Linked DNA regions of Drosophila melanogaster. The gene in region 1 interacts genetically with each later gene. Each region holds a gene or a part of one and is shown in the gene's direction. Other genes may lie near its edges.

The links.
Region 2: of l(2)10685 (region 1) and Dref, changing one suppresses a phenotype caused by changing the other (phenotypic suppression), as found in Drosophila melanogaster (one study listed by BioGRID).

The regions. Positions count from the first base shown.
Region 1 is NT_033779.5:1,133,957-1,150,145, forward strand, and holds l(2)10685 (lethal (2) 10685), read left to right. Parts: upstream 1-13,865; 5' UTR 13,866-13,908; coding exon 13,909-15,420; 3' UTR 15,421-15,493; downstream 15,494-16,189. Other genes in the region: iris, read right to left, coding at 1-117; CG4577 (uncharacterized protein), read left to right, coding at 903-1,125, 4,665-5,111, 5,168-5,429, 5,527-5,807, 5,873-6,000; MFS3 (major facilitator superfamily transporter 3), read left to right, coding at 9,415-9,454, 11,488-12,516, 12,583-12,869, 12,937-13,119; Tfb4 (transcription factor B4), read right to left, coding at 15,558-15,630, 15,695-16,113, 16,175-16,189.
Region 2 is NT_033779.5:9,957,122-9,974,364, reverse strand, and holds Dref (DNA replication-related element factor), read left to right. Parts: upstream 1-7,135; 5' UTR 7,136-7,479; coding exon 7,480-8,605; intron 8,606-8,696; coding exon 8,697-8,989; intron 8,990-9,049; coding exon 9,050-9,437; intron 9,438-9,497; coding exon 9,498-9,820; 3' UTR 9,821-10,218; downstream 10,219-17,243. Other genes in the region: RpL13 (ribosomal protein L13), read right to left, coding at 5,944-6,048, 6,118-6,426, 6,488-6,730; CG5850 (uncharacterized protein), read left to right, coding at 10,973-11,272, 11,353-11,630, 11,688-11,894, 11,951-12,047, 12,306-13,010; CG4658 (uncharacterized protein), read right to left, coding at 14,645-14,815, 15,254-15,425, 15,480-16,405, 16,465-16,776.

The DNA.
Region 1 (16,189 bases):
GTTGTTGAATCCCCGCATCGCCATCGGACCTCCGATCGCCTCCCGATCAACTGGGCTTCCATGGGAGAGCGCTATCAGCGAGGGGGCGAGGATGAATACCAAACTAATCGCTTTCATCTTTCGCTTGTAGAGGTGATCGTTGCCCAGAGTTCCGCGCTAAACTGAAGGTGAGCTCCTGAGAATCGGGTAGCAAGCGGTAGTGCATGTCCATATGTATGTTCAATTGCTGATATAGCAAAATGATCGGATCATTGTGCGCAATATAAATTTTTAAATATTTGCAAGTGAGGCAATTAGCCAGAATTAGCTTTCAAATAAATATAATATAAATATATAATATACAAATATAACATAAGCCATCCATATTTATTATACATTTTACACTAGTCAAGTGCATTGAGTACTAATATAGTGAATTTACATAACAACCAGTGTCATAGCGGCATAACCAGCACCACAGAGGCCCACCGATGCGACCTGGCAGTAACGCAGCTCTTTGCAGATCCGGCGCCGGCGCAGTAGAGGATTGGCTCGCTGCCTCGCCAGGCAAGTACGTAAGCAGGCTCCTCCGAGCTCCGCGGTCTTTATCAATGAGAGTGACGTAGGTTGTGTGCAGACCGGACGGGATTCGGTCGGCGAGTGGAGGAGTTGGGTGGCACTTTAATGTGGTCTGCAAGCCAACGGCCAACGGCACGGAATCGGGGCAATACGTTAAAAACTGTTGCACTGCGTCGCTGGGACGTCAGTTCATTCAGAACAGTCGAAGTGCGCAGACCACTGGGATCCAAACACCGGCAGAAACCAGGCCAGGAGTCGAAGTCGACCTCCCACCTCCAGCCAGATCCGAATCCTATTTGGGACACCACCAGCTAGAGCCAAGTCAAGTGCCGTTTGCCGTAAACATGCCACGCATCTCGTTGCCCGGCAGCAGCCTGCTGGTAGTCCTGGCACTGATCCTGTGCCTCAGCCTTCCAATCCGGGCGGTGCCCACCTCCGTGCTCGCCCAAGACACGGAGCTCTCCACCAGCGCCAACCACAAGCTCCAGCAGCAGCAGCAACAGCAGCAGCAGCATCACCAGCAGCAGCAGCTCCAGCAGCAGCAGCAGCAGCAACAGCCGGCCACAGGTAAGTGCCAAAGTTCAGTACAGGTGGAGCAGCAGCTCCGCCCACGCCCACTCTTAAGGCTAAAGGTCACTGGGAAAATGCGAGTTTTTGAAAAATGCCCGGCCCGAGAAGGCTGTGCCTCCAGCCTCCAGCTCGTCGTCTGCGTGGGTTGGCTGGCTGCTGGCTTTTGAGGGTCGGGCATCCGCTCGAGTGGCTCCATCTCGGAGCTCATCTCGTTTAGCATATTCCATTTCCCATTTACCGCTCGTCGTTCGCTGTTTCTGCCAGGAAATTGCGTAGGTGTTTTGCGCGAGGACGACAGCTGTCGTCCTTTTGAATGCCGCGCTCCATGAGCGATTTATAAATTTCCATCCTGCGGTTGTTTTTCTTGCACTGGCTTAGTGAATCATTACTGTGCCTGCACAGCGAGAAAACTACCAATGACTTTTCTGAGTAAGTGGGTAGCTATATGCACTCTTGAAAGAAAACTATCAAATAAAATAAGTTTTAAGTCTTTAAATTAAAGTTTCAACAAAAAAATGATTATATAAATTATATTAAATTATATACATATATATATAATAATCAAATTTCTGCCAAAATATTCACGAAACATATATACATATATCAAGCTGCGGCTTAAAGCACAATGTTGCCTTTTCTTTCAACAACTCTAAAGAAACATATGGTATTCTGTATATACAGCTCCACGATTTCTCCCAGTGCAGTTACACTGTTCATATATGTAGCTCAGCGCTCACCAACACAAGCACACGGGAACCTACAGCGCAGTTAAACATCGCGTAGGCGTTCGCCACACAAAATGGCGGCCAGCCTCCTTTGTGAGTGTGTGTGAGTACGTGTGTGCGTGTATGTGAGTGGGGGGGCCTCCATGCTGTTAAAGTGTGCGTACGTGCGCGCGATTTCATTTCTATTTTTAGAAAGCGAGTTAGGCGAAAGTTTTCAGCCCCTTTTGCGCCCCTTCCGCTCCTCCTGCACTTTCTGCTCGCCTGGCGCCGTTCGCCTAGCATCGCCTTACGCCATCGCCATCGCCATTCACCACATCTTGGGTGGCAAGTGCCACCCATTGCCGCCCCCACTTTCACCGCAGCATTGAGCCCTTAAGTAGGCAGCCAAGCTCAAGCTGTTAAGCCTTTCCGATCCATTCCGAGTATAAATACGCGTCCGTGTGTGCAACACGTTCGTTAGCGCTCCAAACCGCAGCAGCAACTAAGGCCAAAAGTAGCGGGGCTTTGGTCAGATGTCAGTTGCCAAAAGCCAGCGGCAACCACATCAAAATGTAAAGGGCAGGTGCCCAGAAAAGGGGAAGGAAGCATGTGATTGGGGTGGACAAGTTCAAATTTAAATTTTAACATTTCGCTGCATACTTTCAAATCTTTCAATGTTCTAATGTAAGTTTATAGATACAAAATTTGCCTTTGGGTAAGAAACAAATCTCTAGGGATTAGATGTTTTCGAGAGCGATAAGCTCTCCATCGCACATTTTTGTAGCATACTTCCAGGCAGCGCCACTAACAGATTTTTGCCCCAGCACAGTTCGCTCTAAATAGATTTATTATGCCCCAATGTGGGCGGAATGGCGCCCCCGCCCCTTTCTACGTGTTTACAGAGCCACATATGGCAACCTAATGACAAAGGCAAACAGGCTGTCGCCGCCAAGTGTCCAGCTGTCGGTAGTGCAAAGTGAAAACAGGGTCCACCCCACGGATTAATCCACGCAGCAGCAGTCAAGTGGGCGCATTAAATATTTATGAGAGCAGTGCCTGCTGACCCCTCGCCTTTTCCTTCCTTCGCCTGGCGATGAAGTAGTCAGGAGGGAAGGGTGAGCACTCCAGTTGGCACACCCAATCCCGAAACCACAGGCTCCCAGCGCATTTTCCTGCGCTTGACAAATTTTTCCATATGCTGCGGCTATTAAGTTATTTCTGTGCGGGGCCGAAAGAAACGCCCAAGGACTTGGCCGTGGCGTTAATTGTGTTCATGTTCGTGTCCACATTCCCATGTTCATGTCGCGCTGTCTGTGGTGGCCCGACTTTTCGAACAGCTGCTGGCCAAGAGCCACCCACCAGCCCCCAATCTCTGCGCATGTGTGTGTGTGTGTGTGTGTGTGGGGAGCAAACAACTTGTTGATACTTTTGCAGTTCAGTGAACAGCCTGGTAGAGTAGAGACCCAGGACGACGTCAGCCAACGTCAGAGCCTGCCAGCTTTCTACTCATTTATTTATTCAAGTACCCCACCCGAGGAGCACCCATCCGGGCTGATGGACATCCGTGAGCAGGACATTTGCCACACATAAATATAATTGAGGCGGTGGCGTGGGCGTCATGGAGGCGAAACATGAGCATTGTGGGCATTAAATGACTGCCAATACGGGGAAGCGTTTAGCCAGCGGGTTTCAGGAATTGTCGTCTGTCCCAAGGACTCTGGGGAATCGCAAACTGGGTTACGGGCGCTCCATAAAAGCGTATCCACATTCAGAGAATGTGGAATTTTACAGCTCGACTAGAGTTGCACCAGGGGACATACTGTTTCTCGGAAGGAACTTGTGTTTCCACGCAACATGTTAGTCATCACTTTGAAAGTAATCATATCAAAATAGCTTTAAGGTATCAAAATAATTCGTTTTTAGTTACGATAGTGGTGTCTAAAACTAAATAGTCACCTGCAAAGTAAGTTAAGTACACACTTCGAAACATTCATTTCCCATTCGATGCGAACCGCTAGTCATTTTATGGGAGCCCATTTCCTGATAGCCGGATATTATACCACCTGGCCCTTTCAATTGGCACACCCTAATAACACATTAATCATTGGGGTCGTATAAATCATGGCTATGCGGGTATCTACTCCATTCCACTCTATATGCGATATCTCAGTTCCAATAATCATGGAGATAAGCTATAGATACTGGTATAGATATTCGCAGAAACCTGCGAAATACCTCATACAAATCCACTGCGCAGGGGAGTTGAACGAGTTTGGCTGGTCCATCTGAACTCGGGATTGGATGGATGGGGCAGTTGAAATAACCGCATGCCCATGAGGAGGACTCATGTCAGGTGCTAACTGAATCCTAATTGGCGGCGGCCAGCGCTCAATTAAAGATATCAACCGATCCGAGATATTAAAGCCAATTCAGCCGTCCAATTAGCGAACCAACTGTTGCGCAAAGACCCTTTTTTTTCGATTGGATGCCAGTGGGGCGGCAATGCGATTAGGATTAATAAGGTCAGTCCTCCTCCTCTGGGTATTACATCGGGGATTAAGTGGACATAAAGCCGGCTGTCAGGGCGCTAAAAGCAATTAGCCCAGACCGAGAAATATGCTCGGGCGTATAAAACAATTATGGTACTCGTTCTGCGGACGGCGGCTAATTGGTTTTGCGGTCACTTCTCGGCTGTGGGGATGTTGGGAATTTATTGAATCAGCCCCGGGTAAATGGTAAATGGAAAGTGGGAAATGGCAAGTTGGAAATGGAAAATTCGAGTAGCCCGGACAGCAGCAGCCGGCGTTACCCATTCCCCATCTCGTTCACCAGCCAAACGCTCCGAGGAGGCGAGTGCCGTGCCCACGGCGGACAAGAAGTCGAGTCCGGAAATTGTGCCCGCTTCCTTTAGCAACGCTCCGTCGGCCCGAAACAGCCCAGTTCCGGTCTCCAGCCAGCAGCAGGAGCAGCAGCAGGTGCCGTCCGGAGTCTACGCCCTGCCCTCCAACGAGGAGATCCTGGCCGCCGTAGCGGCCGCCGCCCAGAACAGCCAACAGCAGTTGCAGGAGGAGCCCTCCGCCCTGGAGGAGGCGGTGGCCAGCTCCACGATGCGCAAGCGGGGCATCAATTACGAGTACAATCCGTACTCCGTCGCCTCCAGCGACTACGGCAGCGATGTGCCCAGTGGCGTTTGGTCCGACGACTACGAGGCCGCCGTTCCTGTCAGCTATGGCGAGCGGGATCTCCAGGAGATCGATGACTACGTGCCAGAGCGAAGAGGTGCGTCCAAGAGCGTGGCACATCCATTGCTAACTAACAAAAAACTTAAATTCCAGTGAGTAGCTCGAGTGCGCGAAACAAGGCCTACGACAATTTGCAGAATCTCCTGAACGCCGAGGCCTATCTGGAGAGCATTCCCCTCTCGGTGCCGCTGACCTATGCCAATCGGAACTACAACGTGGATGAGCGCAACAAGCGGGGTATCTACTACAACGTGGGCACTCCCGGCGGCAATGGGGCGAGCAGCCTGGGCAGTGGAAGTGGCTACAACGACGAGGGTATCAACCTCAACAAATATCGACGATTCAACGACATGCGGTGAGTTAGTAAAGCAACACGGCGTATGAGTGATATTTTACATACATAACAACTATTACTAAGGGGTAACCTTTTGTATTCTTTGCTCCAATCCCAGACTTAAACGCGACACCCAGCTCAATCCCGCCGACATGCTGGCCCTGGTTGCCCTGGTGGAGGCCGGAGAACGGGCGCGCAAGGAGAGCGATGCTGAGAGCTCCGGACCGGTGCCCATGATACCCTCCGATGACCTGGACTACGCGCCCGCCGGCAGCTGGTTCGACGTGCCCGTACAGGCGGACTACTACGGCGCCGGAGTGCCGCTGGACAACCAGAACCAGGCGATGCCCAAGTACGAGTACGTGCCGCGTCAGCACAAGTACAGCGGAGTCAATAGCCGTAAGTCCCGATTGGGTTGGCAGCAAGAGTCGGAGGTTCGTGTTCTATAACTTTCAATTATCCAGCAGGATTCGGCTCCTCGAAGCAGCGCTACATGGTGGCCAAGAAGAAGCGCTCGGTGAACCAGAGCCAATTCATGAACGAACCGGTGGCGGAGCGCGGATCCGGCTACAATGGCGAGAAGTACTTCTAAGGATCCCACGCGGAGATAGTCTACGTAGTACTTAATGATAGCCACAGGCCCCACGAAGAGTATTTCTCGTTTTTTTGAGCATTGAACATATTGAACATAATCCAAGAAACCAAAATCCAAATTCAATTTCTAATTCAATTATGATAAAGAGCTAGTGTCAAGGTCAACTCGTGTGCAATTTTTGTGTAGAATTTCACTTTCAAAAAACCCAATGGCGAGAATTAAACTATTGTTGCATGCAATGTGGTGCGTCAGGAGCATAATCAATCAGTGTCTAGGATTTTGTCCCACGGAATCCGCACCGAACTAAACCGAATCTATATCTACGCCACCTAATCCCTGTAAGAAATCGGTGTCTATGTACAACTACTGCAATCTGAAATCCAGCGGAACCGCAACTTGTATCTGTATCTACTTATCGAACTAGAGGCTTCCCGACTAGTACAAAACGAGAGAAGAACGTCAACTATGAATATGATTATATATAAAAATATGAATACATCTATACATGCATATATCAATCCTAATCGAGCTCAGAAGCGACAAAAGCTCCACTAACCGCTTTAATTTAATCTAAACTTATACTAACTAAAGCTAAAGCCAAAGCCAAGTATTTTGAATGCCATCACATTCCGAACTACACTTTTTATGTAACCCCGCCGACTTGGGGACAAACGATCTGACAATTGATGAGAATTTTAATCGTATTTAGCGAGTATCGCAGCTAATATGTTGGTAAATTATATATATATATATATAAATATACGTATACAATATGCAAACAATTTGTGGATAAATTTGTTAAGAAATGGCTCAGGGCATAAATATTTTAAATATTCTATGCCGACGACGAAGAGGCGTATTTTTAATTTGAATAAAATTGTCTGACTGTTTTCGGTAATAATCAAATATACATACATATGTGTACTATGAATATGGTAAAATAAATTATATTATACAGACTAAAATAAAATAGCGTATATATATATGTGTGTGTGTATACAATACAGATTATATATAACTATATATATGAACACTCAAGTAACCTTAATATTATATACTTTCCCTCTGAATATTTGGCCTTTGATTTACGCCTTAAGTTCTTTGCGTGAACTTAGTTTGAAGATACATTTATTTACAATCAACTGATTTACGATTAATAAATACGTCTTTGGTTTGAAAACCAATCAAAATTGGATGAACTGGGAGTTTTTTGACCTGAAAACCAATTGGCTGTGCTCAATGGCAGAAAATTCAATGAAAGTGGGTTGTTTTTTCCCACCCATATCGAATCTTAGAAATGTGTCAATTCAAAGCTTACATCAAGTTACAATTAGGGGAATTTGTATATTCAGCTGCGCAGTAACCGCCGCTCAATGAAAAAGTCATAAAAATCATTTTCCACTTCCACGCTCGGTTGCCAGCCGCCAACGAAAGTTTGAAAGGAAAGTTAACTAATTTGAAATTGGGAGACAATTCAATGAAGACCAATTAACAACAGCTAGACTTCTGGGGCCTCTCGAGCGAAGTGTGTGCCAAAAATTAAATAAAAACCAATTGGCCTTCGCACACGCGTTGACATCCATCGCCATTCGGATGGGTTTCATCATCAATGTTCCATGCGAAGCCACATTAAAGTGCTGCATGTCCGGTGAATGAGTGGAAAACTAGATAACCGTGAAGCAGCGCCATTGTGGCCACTGCAAATGGGGAAGCATGCTCTGCTCCGGACGCCAGATGAGATCCAACTTTGTCCAAACTTAGCTCGAAATGGCCATAAACAATTGAATAGAATGGCCGTAAACAGTAAGCCAAATAAACAAAACATTGGGCTCCAGATACACAAATGCGTTTGACACAAGGGGCTCTGTTTTTTTTTTTTATATTATTATTCTAATGACTACGGCATGCACATCATAGCAGTTATCAATGTGCTGCAATCTAACCTGCATTGAATGCAAGTTGCATGGACACTTTATACTAAATTCAGACTAAGTTACAAAGTGTTATGCCTTTTGTATGCCAAATTGTTGCCATATGGCGGGGAATCTAAATAAGCATTAATATGTATGGAGTGTGTGCAGGAGCATTGGAGCCTGAAGATTCTGGCAGGGATTCGAGGTGGCCATTTGCATATCTCATCAGCAAATGACCAGGAAGATAAACAAGCTGGGCAACGAGGCCAGGAGCAGTCTTTAATGAATACGTTTAAAGTTAATTTATTATGAATATGAATATAACTAATGTTAACTGCTCACGGGAATGGCAAGCATTTGTTTTAGAGATTCCCCCACGGGCAGCACGATTTCGCACCTCTCATCATGAGATCAATCTGCTGCAGATGTTTTGAGTTTGGCGTTAATTAGGCAGCCAAATAGGGAATTCACTTCGATTCATTCCAAAAACTACACAGATGCGGCAACATTTTGTAAATATATTTATATATTTGATACATTTGATGGGCCATTGTGTATCGGGATCATCTCCCGAAATTTATACTAATTTCATGCACGCGTTTTGCATGTTTAATAACCGCTTTATATGTCCACCTGTAGACGGAATTATATCGTGTATATCTGACTAAGGCCAGAAGATTATATAATGCATTCAAATGACTTGCAGGTAGAAAGTAACTTCATATTTAAAGTACTTCATTTCAAAGAGCCCCAAAAACCGATCAGGATTGAATTAAAATTCGGATGAGATGGCTCATAAGTTAGCCGTTTGAATGGCTGTTTCTCCTCCATTCGAGAGTCTTTCGAAATTGGCTCAAACACGCAAACATGCCATTGATATGCTGGCCAAGTCAAATTTATGCGTGGGCGCATTCGAAAAAGCCAACTTGCCCAGGACAGCAACCTCAGCGGGGACACGAACCCAAGGTATCTGAGGCATCTACGATGCAATTGAATGCGAGGCACATGAAATTGAACGACGGGTGTGGCGCGTGTTGAACCAGGCATTTGACTTTGTGGTCTGGATGGGGGAATATCATCATCGGGTTTCGGGCTTGTGACAAACCATTTCCGAACCCCCAGAAACGAAGCCACCAAGATAAAGATACGCGCCAAACGACAGGCAGGCCAAATTACTCGGCGTTTCGGCAGCGGAGAACAAGATCCCAAAACTCGGGACCCACCACCACCACAAGTACATACACACGCACACCGACGCGAAACGAGAATTTCGTTTTTTTTTTTTTGGGAACGACGCACAAAATCAAAGAGTATTCCAGCTAGCCGCTTCAGTTGGTGAGCAACTTTCGAGGCAATCGCACGTGGACTTCGATTTCGGATTCGTTTCGTTTCGGTTCGGTTTGGTTTCGTCGCCTGAGAATATATCTCAATCTGTTTAAAGAAGATATTAGCATTCGGCAGCCGCAGTAAGGCCTATATATCCCCGGAAGCCCCAAAGATGACGGACGAAGTGCCCGCCAAAGGCAGCATATTGGGCAGTAAGTTGTGGCTTGGACATTCGAAGCATCTGTTTCGAGATTGCACCACTGGAGTGCATCATGCATCATGCGGCGGTGGTGCAGCAGTGCAACAAGTGGGTGGGCTGAAGGCACTCTGGGGATACAAGATACAAGTTTGACCTCCAAAAGGTCGTTCGTGTGCGTGAGTTCCAGAAATCTTCCTTGTTCCCCCAGTGCGTACGTGTGTGTGTGTGCCACATCCTTTAGGTTTTTATGTTGCTGTGGCTTTTTTTAGACGCCGCCCACGCCACGCGGCATATTTGATTTGTTTTTGGCGTTTATATGCCCGGGTACTAATGTCCGGACAAGGTCAAATGGAAGTCATAGATATAAACAATATTGGCAGGCGAAAATATGACCAATTTGTATGCGTATCCCAAACAAACGCGACATTCTTGAAATTCGTCTACCTATCCCAACAAAAACGGCGAAAGTTTGCCAAGCTTTTGAATCGGGTAAATAATAGTGTTTACTTTAAACAATCCACGCGAAAATCTCACTCGGCGTTTTCAAATAAGTTTCTCAAAGGGGTTACTTTAAAAGTTGATTTTAAAATTTCCAAATTCCACAATACTAAAGTTACAAGAAAGTACATAATTCCACAAAGTTAACTATTAACAAATGACATTTCTTTACTCTGCAATGTTTATATTGCATCATATTTGTGAAATATTGTTTATCGTATTTCATGAATTATTTATTGTTTATTTGAAAATATTATTGTATGACTATCACAGTGATGAACTGAATCATTTCTTTCCCACAAAGATCTCAAAGGAATACATTAAGAATGCTATGAATTATAAACAGGAATATTTCTTATGACCATGTTAAATGAAAGCGTTGTTAGGAGCGATCTTATTTTAGCCCTATATAGATTAACCCAAGCACTTGAGATTTACCACCACCACGCACCACCTAATCAAACAATCAAATTAGTCTGGAAGACTTGGAGAACTTATGCATATAGAACATCTGAAATGTATTGGTGCTCTGCAGCATTTAACTCAGAGCAAATAAAGATTAAGAAAGCGAAGAAAGTACCAACGAAGTAGGGATACTCTTACATAAATCCATTAATAAGGATGGTATATAATGTCCTTCGAAATCAAATCATCTTTTCTGCCACCAAATGATAGCTTAGCTAACCTAGCTAGTTTATGGAATTAGTTAATTATTAGAATATATCAAACGAAAGAGTATATCTTAAGGCATTGAGGCAGTAATTACACAATATCGAAGGCACAATTAGCAGATATAAATAATCGGTTTGCCAGCTCGAAAGTCTTATTGTGACAGCCATGAAAGTGAAATTGAAAACACAGACGACGAATTTATACCCCTCGTTATCGCAAAGCAACGCACTCATAATTGCTGGACATGATTGCCTCCCCCAACCGATTTCAAAAGGGGGTGGACTATATCAATGCGCGTGCGGCGGCTCACTCTACTGACCCTACCCAACTGCCGGTAATCAGTGGCTGCTCCATGTGGAACTCGTTGCTCACCAGGTGATTGGGTTCGGAGCACCCGAGTGGTGTCATGTCCCTATAAATACCTTAATGGTAATGTGTGTAAGGACTATCCCCACTGTCTTTAGATGTTTGCTCTTCCTTCCTTCAATTAAAAAAACAAACGAGAACGTTGTCGTAACGACTATTTGATACCCCTTACTCAGATAGCGATTCAATAACACGGACAAGCAGACGGACAGGGTCAGTTTGTTTCGACTAGTGTTTCCGATCAAGCCCATGTCACACATACACACGTTTCACACGAGTCTAGTATACCCTTCAGCACTTCAAGTAAGGGGTACAATTAATTCCTTAACTTGCTAAATGGAGTCATTTGGCGCACCATGTCCGATGTGAATATCATTGGCATTAATCAAATTGACTTGCCAAGCAAACCAACCGAATGACTTATATATCGAGTTGCATTTTCCATCCATCCAAAATGGACGAATCAAGTAAAAATAAAGATTTACAAAGACCTTACCATCTACTTTCCAGAACTCGTGCCCGCCCGCTATGTGCTGGCCCTCCTGGGGTCCATCGGCATGGCCATTGTGTACGGCCTGAAGGTGAATCTCAGCGTGGCCATGGTGGCCATGGTGAACCACACAGCCATTAAGGCCCACGGAGACGGCGGTGGACATGGGGGACACGGCAGCGTCATCCTTTCGAACGCCTCCCAAGTGTCCCTGGTGGAGGAATGCAACCCGCCGGGTGGTGCCTCCAATGTGACGGCTAAGGTGGAGGACGGTCCCTTCGACTGGAGCGAGCCCCTGCAGGGAACCCTGCTGAGCTGCTACTTCTGGGGCTATTTGGTCTCGCAGATTCCGCTGGCACACGTCGCCGAGAACTTCTCCGCCAAGTGGGTGATGCTCTTCTCGGTGGCCATCAACGTCGTGTGCACGCTGCTAACGCCCGTCTTTACTGAATTGCATTACGGTGGCCTGATTCTGATGCGAGTGCTTGAGGGCGTCGGCGGAGGAGCCTCCTTCCCGGCCATGCACGTGATGATCGCCTCCTGGGCCCCTCCCACGGAGCGCATGGTCATGTCCACCATCATCTACGTGGGCACATCTGCGGGTACGGCTCTTTCCATCCTCCTGGCCGGCGTGTGCTCCGCCCAATGGGGCTGGGAGTCGGTCTTCTATGTCATGGGCGCACTTAGCTGCATCTGGATGTTGCTGTGGGTCATTCTGGTCCAGGACAACCCCAACAAGCAGCGTTTCATCAGTCTGGAGGAGCGCCAAATGATCACCAGCTCGCTGGGCACCGAACAGAAGACGGAGCACCACCCGGCGGTTCCATGGGGCAAGGTCTTCACCTCCGTGCCCTTCTGGGCCATTCTCATCGCCCACACCTGCAGCAACTTCGGCTGGTATATGTTCCTCATCGAGATTCCCTTCTACATGAAGCAGGTGCTCAAGTTCAACGTGGCCAGCAATGCAGCCCTCAGTGCTCTGCCCTACTTCCCCATGATCATCTTCAGCATCTGTCTGGGCAAGCTCCTCGACAGTCTGCAGGCCAAGGGTAAGTCGGACACATTATTGGACCTTTGAAGGGTGAGTGGTATAAATACCTTAATGTGCTTTCTAGGTAAGATCACCACCACCGTTGCCCGCAAGACGGCCACCTCCATTTGCACCCTGATCCCTGGAGTTTGTCTGCTGGTCCTCTGCTACATCGGATGCCGTCACTATGAGGCGGTGTCTGTCATGTCCGTGGGCATTGTGGCCATGGGCTCCATGTTCTCCGGCTTCCTGTCCAACCACATCGACATCGCACCGAACTTCGCCGGCACCCTGGTGGCTCTGACCAACACGGCGGCTACGCTACCTGGTATTGTTGTCCCCCTCTTCGTGGGCTTCGTCACCAAGGGAAATGTAAGAGAAATGCATCTGAATATTCTCGAAAATATCTTCAAATGGCTTTCTCGAATCATTCTTTTAGCAAAACATTGGCGCCTGGCGCATCATTTTCGGAGTGACCATCGTGCTGTTCGCCTTGGAATTCCTGGTATTCGTCTTCTTGGGATCGGGCAGCGAGCAGCCGTGGAACAAGGCCGGAACTCCCAAGGATCCCGAGGCCAAGGACGAAAAGACTCCGTTGAAGGAGCTGCCAACTAAGCCCTAAGCCAACAATCTCGCCCCGAATCTTCTGCCTCAATTACTCGACGAACTGCTGCTTATTCGGATAACTCTTGGATAAAGCCAGTTCAAAGTGGAATGGTCAATGCTGGACTGTAAATACCAATTACAAGTGTACAATGCCCACCCTGAATAGCGAATTCATTGAACATACGTTCGCTATTTAGGGCGTGCACTGTAGTTTTTAGATCGCTGTAAACCAATAGTTAGTAGCCGTATCCATTACGGATAAACACTTCAGCCCGCCTAATGTACTTAACACTCTTGATTTCAAAAGTTGTCTACAAATAAAGCGACGTAATAGTGGATGCACGGGGGTTCCTAAACAAATTCTGGTGGGGAAGGGAGAATGGGTCTCAGCCTCAATTTCGATGGAAATTCTGGGTGAATGACCCCATTTTCCTGTTTATATTTAGCGCTAGCAATAAGCCATTCCACAGAATCTCAGAGGATTTAGTTACAACTCTGTACGTATAAAAAAATATATAAACAGGGGATCTGTTCTATCTGTTTGGTTGAAGATATGAACAATTGCATGATGTAACTAAATGGCAAAAGATGTAAGGCTAGAGGATGATCCTAACTCAACAATGCAAAGATTGGGTTGTGAAATTGATTGTAACATCTAAGAACCAACTTTCTTTGCATCCTTATCACAATTTAAACTCCGATAACCTGCGGCGCCAAAAGACAGAGTCCGTTATCGATATTCCGGCAGAAACATATGATTTCATGTAATCAGTTTGCCTTTGCCGGTTTCAACGGATTGCGGAAAATGTTGAAAGCACGGAACGTTTGTTTGCTGTCCAGGAGGTGGAAGAGTGGCGCCAAGAAGCGATGGAATGTCCTGCAGAACAAGAAGAACAACTGTGACCGAGCGCTGGAGAACTTCGATGACTTCTACGGAAGTGTCTACGGCACCCGGTGGAAGAACATGCGGGCGGCGCTTCTCACGAGGCACAAGTATGTCGCCCTGGTCAACAATTTCGGGGACACGGAGCAGACGTGCGCCATGCTGGAGTCAGATGGAGCCATCAACATGAAGTCGCTTATTAACCTGGCGCAGGATCGGGTAAAGGACAGCACGGAGACGGTGCCGGAACAAGGCAAATCACGTCATGAAATTGAAAGCAAACTGGATGCACTGCTGCGGAAACAGCAGGAGCGCGAGGTGGCCTCCATATACCCGAGCTCGCCAGAAGATGGTTCATCGGCGCCACTGCCGCTGGAACTGAAGTTTGACAACGTAGAGGAAGATCAGCCGGAGCAAGTGAATAATCCCTTCAAGCAGAGCCTGACGAAGGCTTTGGAGGAGGATGTGAAGCTGGACGAGCATCGGTTGGTGGATCCCCAATTTGGCACAGGCGGACTGTATGAATACATGCCTGCCCACAGCATCAAGGGCATGGAGGACTGGGTGGCAGAGTCGGAGCACTACAAGTACTACCAAACCAGCGCCGACTTCCCGCTCGCCATTGAACCGGAGCCTTCCTTTCACTACCCCGAGCATCTGTCCCTGTACACATATGAAATGGGCAACTGCTCGGACTTCAAGGGACCCAAGAAGTGCATGACCGGTGTGCTCTCCCACTTTATGATGGATGGTGCCTCGACTTTGCCGCCTCTCTTCCTGCAGGTGAAGCCTGGCGAGCGTGTGCTCGATGCCTGTGCCTCTCCCGGCGGCAAATCGCTGCTTATGCTGCAGACGCTGCACTTGGACCACCTGGTCTGCAATGACATCCAAGAATCCCGCCTAAACAAGCTGCGCAAAGTGATGCAGGAGTACCTGTTCGACTACAAGGAGCGCTGGGCTGGAAAGCGCCTCATCCTCAGCCAGAGTGACGCCCGCAATCTGGACCAGTACGAGCAGTTCGACAAGATCCTGGTCGACGTGCCCTGCACCACGGATCGCCATGTGCTCAACGAGCAGGACAACAATATTTTCAAGCCGACGCGCATAAAGGAGCGCCTGCGGATACCAGAGCTCCAGGCAGGCATCCTGGCCAACTGCTTGCGTCTCCTGCGACCAGGCGGCAGTTTGGTCTACTCCACCTGCTCGCTGTCGCCCATCCAGAACGATGGTGTCGTCCACATGGCTCTGCAAAAGGTCTTCACGGAGTACGGCATCACAACTACCATCAAGGATCTGAGTCGCCACACGGCGCTCTTCAGCGATGTCTTCAAGTTCGAGCACCCAAAGGGACTCAAGTATGGACAAATGGTGGTGCCCTACCTGCCGGCCAACTTTGGACCCATGTACTTTAGTAAAATAACCAGAAATGTGTGATTAAATGAAAGTTGTTGGCTGATTAACAAGACTATATAACTGTTGCCCCAATAAATAATAAGAGTTGTAAACTAAAAAGGTACCTTTATATTTAACATACTGCTTCCTTTGGTAACCAGTATTTTCTACTGCTGGAATTACATTTGCTTGTCGGTCTTCTTTTTCTTTTTGCCCTTGATGGGCAGAGGACCGGGATTCTTGAAAATGGTGCTGGAAAGTATAGTCAGGCTCCTTAAGTTAAGTTCTAGTTAATTGAAGTTTAAATTGTACTCACTGGCAAGTGGTGCATATGGGACTGTATTTGCAGAAGACCGAGAGGCAAACCGAGCAGACGTAGCCAATGTCGATCAGCTCACGATGGCAGAAGCAGGAGGCGCGGTAGTCCACTTTGGGCGGTGGCGGCAGGACCAATTTGTGACGGATCTGCGGGGCGGGCAGGAAGACCCACAGGAGGTACTGCAGCAGGCCGTCCAGCTGGGTGACCTTGAGGAACTGTCCGGAGGTAATGTCACAGCCTTGCTGTAGCAAACTGAGGGTCTTGTCCAGGGCGCAGGTATCGATCGTGATGCCCAGTTTCTGGGCGGTGAAGAAGACGTTCATGAACGTCATGTACTGCGAGGCGCACTCGTTGCTGCCTGTGACGACCAGGATGCGGGAATGCATCTTGACGCCAGGAGCCAGATTCCTCTGGAGCTGTACGGGAGTATTTTGTTTTAGATTTGGTTTCCCAAGGCGATTCCTAGCTATTCTCTACCCTTGATATGTAGCA
Region 2 (17,243 bases), 8.8 Mb from region 1:
TGTCCTTTTTGCCTGGGCTACTGGGGAATCCACGTCAGCACTCCAAAGAAGGTTTTCTGCGGGCTGGCCTGACAGAAACTGTGATCCACCAATGGGCAATGCTATGCCGATAAGTATTTTCCTCTTCCGGAAAATCTGTTTTTTTCTCAAACAATTTTATTTTATAGCCGACCGTGAATTTTGTTTGTTAATAACTCGCGGGAGTTTCTTCGGCACAATTTAACCAACGAATATTTTTTAGCAAAATTTTGATTTTGCTCCGCGACTTAGAATTTTGTCTTTCGTTCGCGTTTATTCGCTGGTCCCTGTTCGGGCGCCAGTTAATAATTACAGTTATCGATTTGATTTTGAAGATCGCAAGCGACCGTTTATTGCAATTTATCATTTGAAACTAAATCTAGCGTACAAAATGTTTCCCTAAGTCCCTAGCAATCAAGTGAAGTCGTCGGCAGCGGCGCAGCAGGCGTCGGCCGCGGCGCAGCGCAGAAGTGTCGATGTCGCGCTTAACCGTTCGTTGGCGTTGATGGCAGCGGAGACTATGTGGAACCACAAGATGTTAGAGAATCAATTGCAGGGCAATAACTTGCATGCGATATACAACCATTGACTCCGGCTCGAATTCACAGGATCCGGATTGCAGGACTCCTGTCGTTTTACTTTGTTTCACCAACGGACGGACGGATGGCTATGATCTGGCACCGCAATTAAGCAAAAAAAAAAAGGGTTAGACATCGGCTTTTTCACATCGTCCTGCGACGAGGAAGTTGTGGTCTAACTTGCAGGCTCCTTGCCTCTGCTTTTTGGTCATTCGACACAGGTGCGAAAGTTTCCCGGCTTGCGGTTTGGGCAAAGTGAAAACGATCCAACGAAAGGGCAAGGCACTGGAAAAAAAGAAGTAAAATAAAATAAAAAATTAAATAAAATATAAAGTGAAATAAACGTAGTTAAATAAACAAAACAAGCCCATCGGTTCAGTGAATTTTAAACTTTTTTCAATTGAACCCCCCTCGCTGAACGAATGCCATCGCCCACATGTTCGGATTTCTTTAAAATTTTAGATGGATGAAAAATAACCGCCTGACGTTAAAAACTCTAAAATGTTCCCTGAACATTAAACGCACAGACACAGATTGTTTGTCCAGGAAAAGCAATCCATAAAAACGTCCGCAGGATTCGAAAATAAAAAATGAAACAAACTCAATTTCAAATTGCAATCAATAGACCGCCTTGAACAAATCGATTTTCGGTTATTAGCCGTCACACAGTCATTAAAAATTTTGACAGATTTTGACAATTTATTGATGTTGCACAAAACACGCGGCAAAACGCAAACAATCGAGCAAAAACCTACAGTTGACCTGTACAAATTGCAAAAAGTGGACAAATGTTTGTCCTCCCATCTGCGGCGACTTTCGAGTGCCAGGACCTCGTCGCCCCCAACCTCCTGCATTTTCCACCAACCCTCGGGGCGCGCGATAATTTGATTAATTGAAAGTCAGACGACCTTTTTTTTTTGCGGTCTCTGGGAAGGGGTTGTTCCGTATCCGAACTGATTGGTTGCTTCCAGGATGATGAGGAGGATGAGGAGGAGGGTGCTCTGGTGGCGTGAGTAAACGATCTCCGGTCGTTTCAAGTGGCTCTATTGTATTCACATTAGCGGACTTATCCAACCCCCAGGGTGTATCTATTTCCTATCTGACCGTTTTTTTTTTTCGGCACTCGATTTTTTTTTTTGGCTAAAATTTAAATATCGCATTACACACAGACACTTGATTTTGAAGCCCAGCCGACCGCATTTGAATGTTTCACTTGTGGTCCGGATGGGTAGTTTACTGTACAGGTTGCACAGGACTCCCTGGGCAATTTCCTAACATGTGTTTTTCATTCGAAACTTTAAATCTGTTGTCTGCACTTGATTATGCGATAAACTGGGCTGTGGTTTTAGCAAACTCTCGGTTTCACTTGCTTTTGGACAGTTGCGTAATTGTTTTGTCGCTTCAAGGGCTTCTCAATGGGTCGTTGGTCGTCAAGGGTTAAGGCGTTGTCTGCTGTGGAGATGGCCTGGCTAACTGAATCGGACATCATCTGCCAGCCACTTGAACATATTTTCTCGTTTTTAGGCTTTTCAGTCTTGCTGCCAAAAGTTGTGGCTTCCAAACTGGCGGAATAGTAATGAAATGAAAACGTAAAAATCTCAAAATAACAAAGTTGCAACTAGAAAGTTGCCGCTCTTAACAGCACCAATATTTGTTTTAATTTATTCTTGCAACATCTAACAATATTAACCTAAAATGATTCAATTATTTAGCTACCTAAACCAACATTCTAAGTTACAGCACTCTTTTAACTAATCAAATTTGGCCAATTAAAAGACTTCCTGTTGATTTTAAAGCATCTCTCGAACATTTAAATTCGAAAACATGAAAATTTATAGTCACGTAAATAACTCAAGCCAATCTACCCTTTCCCGTTTAAAGTCTGGTGGCATGCAACATTTAGCTGTTTTGTGGTTTCCCACTCCAGCGTTATTCTCATTATGCTTGTTGTGTTATTGTTAAAAGCCACGCCCATCGCCCCCAAAATGATAATTGATTTTGGCCTAAAGCCCAAAGGGTTTCGTTTTATATACACAAATATACTTATATACATATAGATAGTTAAATGTGGTCGTTCGTGCTGGTGGCACACACACGAAGGACGCCCCAAAAACACGTGGCCAGCTGAAAGGACATTCAACTCGCAGGAGCAGAACAATTGCGAATCGCTTTAAGTGCTCACTTTTCAGCAAAACACTTTGGTGTGCGCAATTTTCAATTTCACGCCAGCCCACTTGAGCCGCTTTCCCACCTCATTTGCATATTTTCCGGCAATTATTATTTGCATATGCGAAAATTTCCCGCCCATTGTGATTCTAATTCGATTTTGATATTTCGCGCCCATTGCCATTTGCAATTTGCCTTTTTTTACGATTTGTTTTGCCAGGATCGTGTGCCGCCTCTATTGATCTCATAATCGAGCCAAGTGGGCTAAAAAAAAAGCAACGTCCCTCATTTGCATCGTTGTGCTCATTTTTTTTTTTATGGCGTGCCAATTTTTGATAGATGATGCGTGAAAATGTGGGACGTGGCAAGGGGGGGCGACCTCTGCATATTTGCATATTTGATTAATTTGTTTGGTTTTTTGGGTGGTTTTTTATGGAAAAATAATAAGCATTTTATTGTGTGCTGCGGACTGGAGGAGTGAGGAATATGGGCTAATTTCTATAGCTCATCAAATAGCAAGGATGCGGATTAGAGCGGCACAAAATTGATGGGGCATAAAACAGAAAACAGGGATGGGATGATAAACTTGCGATATGAAAGTAACATGTGTTGGGAAAACGATCGAAAAAAATGATACATACAAATATTTGGTTTGAAGAATATATATATTTTATACTAAAATACTAACCATATGTACTAAGAACATACATACATAAGTTTCATTGCTTAGCATAAAATACTAAACACGAAACATAAGAAGGATATAAATTAGATGCTGCACTAGTGCACACAAACAATGGAATTTGTTTTTTGGCAAGAGATCTTCTTAAGTATTTAATCGATTGGACATGAGCCGCATCATCAGCTTAATCCACGCCCCGTTCGAAATGCAAATCGGTCTGGAAGTTGCGACTGCTTCTGGTCCTGATTTTGTCCTTCGGCAGACGAGCAGTAGTTTTCCCTTCAGACTGGCGGGCACTAATCCAATTGCTGTATGGATCATTAAGCACTGATTGCGTTTTATGGTGCAGACAGGACCTCGGGCATAGGTACATACATATATATATATATACAGATGTGAATATGCTCATATGCAGCGCAAGGACACTTCACTCGCATATGCAGATTAACCCACAGCCAGTGAATTGAAATGGGGTGCCATGCCATCAATTATGTTGGAAATTCGACGATTTAGATTTAACAGCAAATCGATTTTGCGATAAAAAGAGAAGGAATCCAACATAAATGCATTTGCGAGAAAGAAAGTGTTAAATTAAATTCACATCATTGGCATAACCAAATTAGTTGCAGTCAGCGCAGCTTTGTGCAGTGACAAAAAAAAAAACAAAGTTAACAAATTTTATTTATTAAGTAATTTAATTTAATAGATATTTGAAAGATGTTTCTAGTGCAAAAAGGATATATGGTTTGATTATATTCATATCTATTATATAAAATACTCATACTTGGAATTCAATAAGCAAAAAGTGCAAATAAATGGTGATTTTCCCTGTGTACTTACCTTGCTGAACAGTATCCTGCATTCAAATGAACCGCAAAGTAAATCTGCATTTGATTTGTCACCCGGCGCACTTGTTGCAAAAAACTTTTGCCGGCAACTGTCGCCGCGAAAGGTGGCACACACAAAAATAGAAAAACAATTGCCAATTACGTATCCTTGTTTAACGCTTGTGCCGAGCCACTGCCCCCCGGATGCGAGACAGGAGCATCCGGAAGCAGGCAGTAACCCACCCCGGTAGCCATAGTCACCAGCATGGTCGTGTCCATAAACAACAGTCGAAACAAAGCAAAAACCCACAGAGAAACAATCAAAAAGAAGGAAAACTCAGCGGGGAAAAAAAAACATTTTGAGGGGTGGTGCAAAATGGGCAGCGGGAAAAACTAGGTGGAAAATTACTTTTGCGCTCATAAATTTCAATAATAAAAATTTGAATGCAGTTGACACGACACCGAAACAAGCAGCCCCGCCCACTTTTTGTCCCCTCCGCACACAAGAGCGGCAAACAAGGTTAAGTGAAATAAAAATCAGTGAAGTGCATAAACAAGGTTCAAGGTGCGGGTCGGACTGCAATTGGGATTTGTATCTGTATCTGTAGCTGTATCTGTATCTGTAAATGTATCTGCATCTGGTTCGGGACCTAAATCTGAATGTGGATGCTGCCTGCACCACCCGATAATTGAATTGGCTTGTCGCATTTGGTTGAGGAAGCACAACCCTTTTTTTTTATTTTTTGAGGACCGGAGGAGTTATGTTTTTGCATATGTACATTTGTATTTATGGTGTATGGTGTTTTTTGGCTTTGCGCTGGGATGTGGGTTGTGGTCTGTCCTTATTACCAACATATGGAATACGAGTTTCGGGGTGGCGGCCTCAATTAATATTTGCGGTTGAAGTGCAAATGCGATAATATTTGGGTCAACGCCGTAATGTTCACTTATTTTTCATAGTTTTGTGGTTAGTTTCTGAATTTGTGCTACGGAAATCAAAACAAAAATTGTATTTCAGTAAACAAGCTTAACTGAAAACGAGTAAAAAAAAAGATGAAACGCGATAGTGAAGCCCTTCACTCACTCAGCTTATCAATTTTAAACTCAATATTTTCAGATATAGTGAAACGCGCATATGTACATACATATGTACATAGGCATAAATACCTTAAAAGGTATTGCAAATATATTACTGCAGAGATAAAATACAGTTGTTTAGTTTAATCTTTACCCTACACCATTCTAATGAAAAATTCAATATATTGTAATTAACATTTCAACAAAAGATATTTAAAAAAATAAGAAACGTAGCTTCTGCAACCTTTTCGTTTGCTCAAGATGCGTATCCTAAGAAAATCTTCTATATGGCACCACAGATTTAACTTTTTAATAATTTAACCCAAATAAATTAAGAAGCTGGTAAAAATAAGAAAAAATAAAAAAGTAATGGCAAGCAACATACGTTTCTTTTTTTGGATGCAGCAGCTAAAAACAAACGCGCCAGTTTGAATTCAACGCGCCAAAGCTACTTATCGATAGCAACACGGGTTATCGATAAGTCTTACGCCAGACGCGACAATAACAACAATGTGCACAAATATTCACGTTTAAGAAAAACTAAGATTTTATTCTGGTTGATGTTGTAGACAGAACGATCAGGTTAAGATGTGGTTTACTTCTTGGCCTTCTTGGGGTCTCCCTTGGCGGCGTCCTCGCTCTCAGCGGCCTCCTTGGCGCGCTTGGCGCGGATTCCGACCAAACGGGCATCAGTGCGAGCCTGCAAATATAGTTTGGCGGCGAATAAGTATAACGAGCTACCGGCGGATCACGAAACCAAAAAACTTACCTTGCGCAGCGTGGCGAAGGCCTTGAACTTCTTCTCATCCTTGGTCACCTCACGGAACTCGACCACGGCGGGCTGCTCATTTTTGATGGGCAGGACGGGTCCCTTAAGCTGGGTAGCCAGCTTGCACTCCTCCAGAGAGGACTCGCCGGCGCGGATCTTCTTCTCGTTGATGGGGAACAGGATCAACTTGCTGCGGTACTCCTTGAGGCGCTGGATGTTACGCTGGCGGGACTCCAGGGATTTGTTCTTGCGCCTCCTGTCGACGGCAATGCCGATGGTCTTGGCGAAGTTGGCGCCAATGCCGGCACCCTGTAAACAGAGATTTTGTTAGTGGCCAATGGATTCCGATAATGTTTTCGGCTTCACTTACCTTCAGCTCCTCCAGGGTGAAACCACGGCCGGCACGCAGCTTGGTGTGGTAGCGGATGGTGGGGCAGCGAACCACAGGGCGCAGGGCACCGCTGGCTGGGCGGGGGAAGACGGCCTTAGCCTTCTTGACGCGGTTCGCATGCCTGCGGACCTTGCGGGCCGGCTGGTTGAACCAGGTCTTCACATGCCGCTGCCACCACTTGTGGTAGTGCTGATTCGGAATCATATTGTTACCCTTACCCATCTTGGCGGTTTAGATTGGCTGCAACGAGGGCAAAAACACAATAATAACATCAATGTCTCTTTGTAAACTCGTATATATGGGATAACCAAGCTGCAGGCCCACGTGGCTGGCGAATTTCGATTTGTTTAAGCCGTAATTCCGAGCACTTCTTCATGCCTACGGGTGTCAATGATGCCCACTTGTGTCCTCCACACTTGGCACACTCGATGGCTCGATTTGCATTTCGTTTATCTTTTATTTTCATTGAATTTCGTGACGCTCACGAAATTTACACACCTTTTCTTCCCAACAACGAATTAAAAAGGAAATCGCAACCAACTTCACGTCGTAGGCCAAGCGAAAATTTCCCTAGAGAAATTCCCCCGGCCGAGCGAGAAATTTCCCCAGCTATCGATTGGTGATGCAATCAGTGTTAGCGAGAATACTCAACAAATCGCATTTTTTACGACAGTCAGACGTATTGAAATTAAAAAGCGGTGACTCTCATATTTGAGCAGTCTGTAAAAATAATCTCAAATAAATGAGAGTGCATTTGAAGCATTTAGCAACGTTTTATTGCCTTATCGATTGACGGCGTGTCGCGTGGCAACTCTGAACTGTACTTCTGATACAGATAAAAAACTATTGACTATTGAACCGTCTATCTATAATCGAGAAATTGCGCGCTAATACACGCATTGGGCACAGCAATCGTTGTCGAATCTAATTCAAAACAAACAAGAAGATCCCAATCCCCCACAGAAGACAAGATGAGCGAAGGGGTACCAGCGTCGCCCGTGGCCATTGGCGAACTCAAGTACGAGGATGTGTCGCAGCTAAATTTTTCCAAACTGTACTCGCCCAAGATGAAAAGCGTATACTGGCGCTACTTTGGATTCCCCTCGAACGACAATAATGAGGTGATTACCAAACAGAATGTGGTCTGCATTAAGTGTCACAAGGTGCTGACCAACCATGGCAACACCACCAATTTGCGTGCGCATCTCCAGCACCGACACAAGGATCTGTTCAAGGAGCTGTGCCAGGAGCACGACATCCATGTGCCGCCGCGCAAGACGCCGCGTAATGTATCCCATCCACCGCTGTCCAAGCGGAATGTTTCCTCGCGGCGGGTCAAACTGGAGTTCATTAATAACCGGAACCACGATAACGCTTCCGATGATGAACTGGACGAAGCAGCCGTGGCAACTGCGGCCATGCAGGCGGAGGAGGACGCCTCCTCGCAAACCATGCTGTACGAGACCATGGTGCCCTTCACCTACGACGAGGCCGAAAATCTGGTAGAGGAGGAGGAGCGCCTAGTTATGGAACCAAAGTACGGACGCAAACGCAAAGTGGCCACTCCATCGAGTGCCCTGATGCACGGGCGTGTCATCAAGCACGAGGAAGGCGGCTATGCCGCCGTGGCGAACATCGCCAATCTGGCCGAAGCCCTTACGGACATTGTGATTAAGGATTTGCGCAATGTGGATTCTCTGTACGATGCCGGTTTTGGTGAATTCCTGCGTCAAGTCCTAGGCAATTCGGCAGCCATGCCCGAGCCACACAAGATCGACTCTTTGATCAATGAGATGCACGCCTCCAAGTTTCTGGAGATTGGCGAAATCACGCGCGATTTCACCTCCGAGAAGCCCTTCTCTCTCGCCTTTGAGATGTGGGTGAATGTTGAACAGCGGCGCTTCCTTAGCATCTTCCATCACTTTCTGGACGAGGAGACGCACTCAGTTCGCGGTATGCTGTATGCCACCGTGGAGTACAACGACTACATCGTCTTTGACGATCTGCTGACCGACTTCTATTTGGCCAATTGCACACTGGCCATCATAAACTACGACGAGGAAGAGGACCTTTTGCACACCTATCTGCGAGAGAAAAGTGAGTGCATTAGCAAGTCAGAATTATTTACCTTATATAGAATATATATCAAATATTGGACTTCCTAATGAATATGAATCTTTTATTGCAGATATACCCATTTCGCTGTGCTACGTTTCGGTAATTGACAAATGTTTGCGTCGTGTGTTTGAGATCGAAGAGGTGGCCACTTTATTGGAGCAGGTGAAGGACCTAATGCAGCGTCATTCAACGGAGATTGCCTCCAAGGTGTCCGAGGTGCCCATGCCCACGTACAACGAGCACTTCCCCTGGACACTGTACGAAACATTGAAGTTCTTTGCCGAGTCCATATCTTGGTCCGAGGACATGGATCACCTGGTTATATCAGCCAAGACGGTGACGGAGGCCCTGAGTGCTCTGGTGGTAAGCCATCAAGCTAAATGAGACGTTTAAGCAGTTTTCTTATTGTGTGAAATCTTTTAGATTGCTTTGGACACGCTGCGTGGCGAAGACATTCCCTTGTGTAGCATGCTTTCGCCAATCACTTCAAAGATTCTTATCAAGAAGTTGGGCATCGCCGAGCAGGACGATCCCCTAATGATGAATTTGAAGCGGACCATTTCCAGTGTCCTCCAGGCGCACGTTATATCCAATGACAATCTGACCGCTGCTGCATTGTTGGACCCACGCTTCCACCGCCTGACCACCATTGACAACCTAGAGCGAACCGTTCGTATGCTGACCCATAAGTATAACATTAACTTTGGTGGAGTGGGCGAAGGGGAATCCAACGAAGTGGCAGCTACCTCCAGCGTGGTGGCCATTAAGTCAGAACCAAGAGTAGTGGACGGCAGTGCACCAAAGAAGTTGGGTAAGTGCATCGAACTAAATCGATTATCATAAACCATGGACTAAACGAAAATGCCCGTAGGTCTGAAACTGCTGTTTGACAGTAACGAGATACCAAATCCTCCGAAGCGAGATGCGGACAGCAGCGTGGAGTCCGATCTTAAGCGATATCGCAACGAGGTGGTCGTTCAGCTGGATGAGTCGCCCATCGAGTGGTGGCTCAAGATGGGACACATTTATGGAACGCTCCGCGATTTGGCCAGCCTGTACCATAGTGTGCCCGGCGTGGTGACGCTCAGCTTCAAGAAGGCGCTGAGAGACCAAATATACGACTTCAACAAGCGATTCATGCTCACCGGTAGTCACATCGACGCCATCCTCTTTCTTCATCATCACAACAATTAGTCTGCACTGGCGACTACTGTTTCTTATAATGCAAATACTTTTTAATTACTTTTAACGTAATCCGATCTTGTGTATATGAAAATGACTACCAGGGGCGAGGCAAATAGTAATAGCGATTCCGCAGTACTTTTAACCAAAAGACAGCCTTGGGACGTACACGGAACATCTTAAGTTATCGACGTATAAATGTTAAGGGAACATTTTGACATCATATATTCAAATCAAACAGATAATCTAAGAATATTTGTTTAATAAATCCATAACGAAAAAATATCACGCTTATCAAGCTCACTTGTAAATCCCCTTATATCCATTTCAAGAGAACTAATTAAATACTTAACTTAGTTGTACATAATTGATATTTTAATCTTATAAATAAATAAAATGCATCTAACTTTCGTGAATTGTTTTATTGAACTAACTAAAATTAGATATTTTACAATTAATTCAGTATTAAAAAAATTTCTGAACTACGAAACAATTAGTAGTCGGTTTGGAGTTAGCTACTTTATATATTTGACATATTTCTTTAATTTTCAAAATATGTTTTATTTTTTTACTCTGCAGCCCTCGAAATTTCCCTTTTTTAAATCATCGGAAAATTTTCATATTTTTCGTCTGCGACAAACAAAATCTAAATAATCTTCGACATTTGTTTTTTAATTAAGTTAATTTTTTTACTGATAGCTTTTAAACTTTAAAATAAAACAAATAGTAAAAATTTTAAATAATATAAAACCGGGAGGAAGTCTGTATTTTAGTCATTTCGGATTTCGCATTGGCTGGTCACACCAATTAGACGTAGGCACCCGACCCACGAACTGGATTCCTCACAAAAGAAGGGCACGAAAGCCGCGATATTACTGCCAATAGGACTGAAACCAATAGATCGAAGAACTTGCTCTGCCAGCAGGAGATCTCTGAAAATGCGCCTCCAGCGTGGGTGCCACCGCCGTGTCCTGTAATCTGCTGTGAGAGAATTTCTGGCGGAGAAGAGCGGATCGGAGCGGAAGAAAGCGGAAACCCAAGTGAAAACAGAATCGGGGCGGCGGCGTCGACGTCAACGAATCAACGATATCAACCCGGATATTAGGTACTCCGGTGAACAGCACATTTCAAGGAGCATTCCCAAGGAGTGCACCAGAGGCAAAGATGTGCAGCTTGGACGTAAGACGCTTCTTCGAGGAGTGGCGCATCTGGATACGCCCGCTGCTCATTATCACCTATGTCATCTTCGCCATCATCGTGGTCCCGCTGCTCATTGTGAACTCCGTGAAGGATGGCTTCCAGCGCAATGACCAGCTCATTCTCATCGGCGGTCTGTTTGTGTTGTCCGCAGTGCCCGTGTCCATTTGGCATATCATCCAACACGTCATTCATTTTACCAAGCCCATACTGCAGAAGCACATAATCCGCATATTGTGGATGGTGCCTATCTACGCCTTGAACGCGGTAAGTGGGCCACCGATGTGAGCTTCGATATTGCGGAATTGGAGACCACAAGAAACCTAATACTCTCTATTCACTTGCAGTGGATCGGCCTTTTCTTTCCGAAGCACTCCATCTACGTGGACTCACTGCGCGAGTGCTACGAGGCGTACGTTATCTACAACTTCATGGTGTACCTGCTCAACTACTTGAATCTCGGTATGGACCTAGAGGCCACAATGGAGTACAAGCCGCAGGTGCCTCACTTCTTTCCGCTCTGCTGCATGCGGCCGTGGGTGATGGGTCGTGAATTCATCCACAACTGCAAGCACGGCATCCTCCAGTACACGGTCGTGCGCCCCATTACCACCTTTATCTCTGTGTGAGTGTCGGGATGTGCTTTTCCGTTTAACAGTCAACTCTAATCGGAATTTCGTAGCATCTGCGAGCTATGCGGCGTTTACGGCGAGGGCGAGTTTGCGGGCAACGTGGCCTTCCCCTATATTGTGGTGGTCAACAATATATCCCAGTTCGTGGCCATGTATTGCCTGGTGCTATTTTACCGTGCAAACAAGGAGGATCTCAAACCAATGAAGCCTATTCCCAAATTCCTGTGCATCAAGGCTGTGGTGTTTTTCTCGTTTTTGTAAGTACCACATGAAAGCATTTAAGATTGGTTAAGAATATTTTACTCCACCGTAGCCAAGGAGTGCTACTCAACGTACTGGTATACTATAATATTATTAAGGACATCTTTGGGTCGGATGTGGGAGACACCAATCTGGCTTCCCTGCTTCAGGTGAGTGACCTATTTAAAAGCCGAATGGATCTGGCAATAAGTTATTTCTATAAGTAAAGAGCTAATATGTAAATTAAGCATGATTTTTTCATACCAACCTTATCTTATAACCGAAAACAGTCCCAAGTTCGTTTAATACTGATGACTAAGAGTTTTTATCAAGCATAACTTCCAAATTTGCAAACACAACAAATGAAACCGAAGTGAAAGTTTCCAAAAACCAATTCAAATATGTATGTATTTGTTATCGCCAACCAGAATTTCCTCATCTGCATCGAAATGTTTATCGCGGCCGTGGCTCACATCTACAGCTTCCCGCACCATCCGTTTCACATCAACTCGCCGCAGTACTGGAACAACCCGAACCATAGCTGGTGTCGCGCCTTCCTCTCCATGATGGACATATCCGACATGCAGGAGGATGTCACCGAGCATCTGGGCGTCGTGGGCAGTTCACTGAGTCGTCGCTTCCAGGGACGCAGCACATACCAGCCGCTGGCGCGCAGTCCTCGCCGCTCCAGCAGTGAGTCCGAGTATCTGATCAGCAAGCGGCAAGATCAGCAGCTGCCGGGCAACTCGTCACAATCAGGTAACATGTATGGTGCAACGTCCAGTCGCCTGATCGTGCCTGTGTATGATGGCAAGCTGAATACACTGCCCGAAAGTCAATCTACTCACTCCCAATCTCGATTTCCTTTAGCAGGCGTGGCCGACGATGGGAACAGTAGCAATAGCAACTACCAACAACAACAACTACACTTGCCGGGAGCGGCAGGCTCTCAGCCGTCGACCCGTCAACGCGACACACTGCATCTTCGCGAGCGCGAAAGGGATCCGGGTGCGGGTGCTGGCGGCGGTGGCAGTTTCCTGCGCCTGCCCCCTGGTGCCGCGTCGGCAGCGGCGCCAATTCCCGAGTCCAACGATGATTATGCCCTGCTGTTGGGTGCGGGCGCAGGCAGGTGACACCGCTACCAACAATATCACTACCAGCAACATCAGCACCCGCACATTGACGACGCTTTCGAGGACGAAGATGGCGTGGACGTGAGCCAGCAGTTGAATGCCTCGTCACTCAGCGCCTCGCTATCCGTATCGTTTGGCATGTCAAGCAGCCTCAAGTTTAGTGCCACTGGCAGCAATCAGTCGGCGTCCGAGTGGTCGAACTCAACGGGCGGGGATAATGACGCTGACGACGGTGACTTGGACGTGGACGGAGAGGATGGAGACGCTGAAGATGACGGTGCTGGTGTGCAACCCGTGGTCTTTATTGCCTCCACGACGCGGCGACGCCGCGATCGAGAGTACATCACCTAGACGCGCTGACCTTAAAGCCCCTTATCAGTTATATGCTATGCTTATATTTATTGTTTTTCCCCATCCCATATCTTGATTTGTGCTAGGCTTAGAATACTCATGAAACGAACACTTTCTAGCGGCCCATCAAATGGGGCATTTGAATTGTGGCCTTAGTTTTCATAGCGAAAGCAACTTATTTTAGATCGCCATTCACTGTAATCGCTGCTCCTGATAGCGCGCACAAGTGAATCCACACATCCCTTAGCATCCCAAAGAATCATCATTGAATATAGGGGTCAGATATTTTGTAAGTACTTTTTATGTGCTGATTGTTTGTGAACAGACCTTCCCGAAACGATATTTTTACTCTATACATCCCTGCTAGGTGACCCCGCATAGTTATGTAGGTCTCCAACTTTTTGTGTGGCGAAGTAGTTAATTAAAAAAAAACATGCCTGAACCGATTGTGAATTTTGTGACTGCCGCCGGTCAGAAAAGGGCGTGACTTGTATTTAAATAGAAATTCTTATTGTAAAACTAATATACACATCAATAATATAATATTGGAAAATAATCGAAACCGCCTTTTATGTTTTAATCTCGTACAATTCGTGATTATTTTCATTTGCTACTGCACCCATTTGTGTACTAACATTGTGCATATCATTCCAATTTTCGACACTAATGCTTTTGTTTATGTATTTGTTGCTTTTGTTAATATGTGATAAGAAATTTGAATTTTGTTGGTCATTTAAAATCCCCTAACATTGTTTTAGGATCATCTAGTTGGGTGACATGAGATAAAATAATGATGAGAACTACATTCCACGCTTGCAAGTAGAGAATACGACTTCATTTCATTTGTAACATTTATTGAAATATTTGTTTAAGCACTTCGAATCCTATGTCTTTTCATAATACTTGCTTTTTTACATTTTTGAACAAAGATACGGAACATAACAGAAGACCTAAAGGAAAAAGTTGACGAAAACGAAGACAATGTGTGACATATACATGGATACACAAGTAGACCGAAGTACATTTAAAGGCATTCACGGAATTCTCGTTACGAACATACATAAATCAAATCGAGTACTAAACACTGATAATAGAAAGAAAAACAAGTAAACCGAATATCAATCAACATCAATTAAAAACAAATTCAGTCCAGTGATTACTTCTCGTGCTGCGAGTGCATAACTATAGCAAATCCCAGTAAATTTCAATGTGGCATGCCCCTCATTTCGAATGGCATTCCCCATCCATTGCTTTTAGAATACATATATGCGCAGCAGTCGCGATCAATTGTTGTAGTTCTGCCTGCCGCCCAGCTCGAGGAGATATCGATCCGGATGGTCCATCCAGTCGGCGGCCGTGAGCTTCACTGTCCGCTGCCGTTCGGCCTCCTTGATTTGCCACTTCTTGATGTCCAATTGCACTTCGCGTGATGATTTGTCGCCGCAGCCCCACACCTGCGGATGAGATCGAAGAAAAGATGGCGAGCAACGTGTAGTTCTTGTTGTTGGTTGACTGTTGTTGGGTATGGAGAATCGTAGACTTAGTTTAAATGCATCGCTAGAGCACACACCTGGCCATTTGGAGCCATACGTGTGCTGTTTTTAACAGCTTAGACTGGAGATAATGCCGTTTATAACGATATACGTCTATGAATTTTACACTATATACCATATATGCATATACACATATATAACATATACCCTGTTGAATAAGGCTTATTGTACATGAATGCGATTAAAGTACAGAGAAATATTCGACATGTTGTCTGCTTAGCTTATTTTGGTTCCAAATGAGGTTCATGAAATCAGGGTTTCTATTTGATTTTGTCAATTGCTAATCTCTAAATAAGTTGGAAAGAAAGCCGATTTGCTAAGGGTGCATGTTCTTTTTACCTCTATGGACATGAGTCCAGCCGCCAGTCCCTTGCAGTCAATATTCTCGAAATGCTCATCGACTGCTATAATGGGTTTTCGCGGATCGGCGCCGGCACGTAAGCCCTTCGGATAGCCGCGTATGCTGGTGTTTAGGTAAAGAATGTTGGGCTTTTTTTCCAGTATCACAAACCTTTAAAAAATTCCATTAGTAAGGATTGTAAATCTCCACCATTTCGCTACCCACTTGGGCAGCAGCTGGATAACACAGCTGCCCTCGCCGCCCACAAACAGATGCGTTTCCTTCCACTCACTGGGTGAGGCCACGCAATACGTCTGTTCATCCTTGGTATGGAGCAGGACCAGTGTTGGACCCCGATAGCCGAGGACGTGGTGCAGAAACCGGTTGGCTCCCACGCCATGCTCATTGGAGTTGTACAGCAGTGTCCAGTGTGACGGCATCATCGACAGCTTGTCCTTGAAAATCTGTACCGCTGTGGACGCGCTAACGTTGTTGTTTCCCTTTGTGGCCGGCGGTGTCACAGTTTGGGGCTTGGAGTAGAGTGGCGGCAGAGCTCCAGCCAGCAGCCAGGCTTGCGAAAGCGGCATCAGCGAGTCCATCTCCCTCGTGCTACCGCCACTAAAGTCGGTGGTATCTGTGAAGGGATTACGTTGCTCAAGCACCGGCGTCTGCAACTCAATGCCGCATGACTGATTCTGCTGCTCTAGACCACGGTAAGCGGTTGACAAAGTGTGCACACAGTACTTGTGCACGAGGAGCACCAGCCGCATCAGGTTCTGCTCGAACCAGCGGCAAACGTAGCCCAGACTCATACTGTCGTGGCACAGGAAAATGGACTTGGTCACCGAACCGAACGTGCGGTTGATGGCCGGGCACAGCACGGCGTTGCCCGAGTGCTGCATGGCAATGGTGTAGCAGATGTGGAGCAACCGCGTCACTCCCGTCTTGTCAATTTGGTCCGGATTCTCCTCCTGGGCGTACATCTTAATGTAGCACTCCAGCGTCTTCGAGTCATCCATGATGCCCAAAAAGCGTTCGCACTGTTGCCGGAAAGCAACGGCGCCCAGATGTTTCGTTGTGGCCTTGGAGTTGGAGTGCATCAGGTTGAACAGCCGCTGTCCCAGGTCGGCGTACTGCGGAAAGACTTGTGACTGGCGAAAGAGGTGTTATTTTTTATGAGTGGGCTCGGTGTTATCAGTTAATTACTCACCACAAAGACATCTGCCACAATGCCATTAATGCCCAGTTTGGACGACGTCTGCTCCCTGAGAATCTCGGCTAGCTTCTCCACCGGCACCAGCTGGGTGAGGTACTTCTCGGTGACATCCGCGCCAGAAGCCGACCTGGTCATCGAGCCCTGCGCCTGCGTCACCTTTAGATTGTTGTGGCTGCCGCCCACGTCAGAGACTCCGTTGTGGGAAGCATCACTGGACTTGTGCTGCTGATGCTGCTTGTACGGCTTGCCTCCCTCCAGGGGTGGCTCACTGGCGTCCGACTCGCCCTTGGAACTCGTGTTGCCCATCTTGGTGATGTTTCGACGCAATTAATTTGGGGCAGTGGAAACGTACAACGAAAGGGCATAAAAAAGGCCAAACGCAGGTTTGCACTGAAAACAAATTGGCGAGGCGCAACAGGTGCAGGGAAGTTTTGGCCAAAGAAACAACTGCGCCGCGTCGCAAAACCTGTTATGAAACACACAAACACAGTGCTAACAAATCGGGTAAATATATTTACATAATTAAACGCAAATTAAGCTTTGAAACGAGAAAATAAAAACAAACCAATCGAATGTGACCGTGCTGGAGTTGCAAATTAATGCTGATTACAATGTGGCTTTACCACACCACAGAAAAATCTACAGCAACTAGAAGATAGGTGTACCAGTTATATGATGCCCTGTTATTTTCTAGTTTTATGATTATGTTAGCGTTTGACATAAATAAATTTTTATTTGTTTAAAATACGAGACATTTTAACGGTAAATCAATT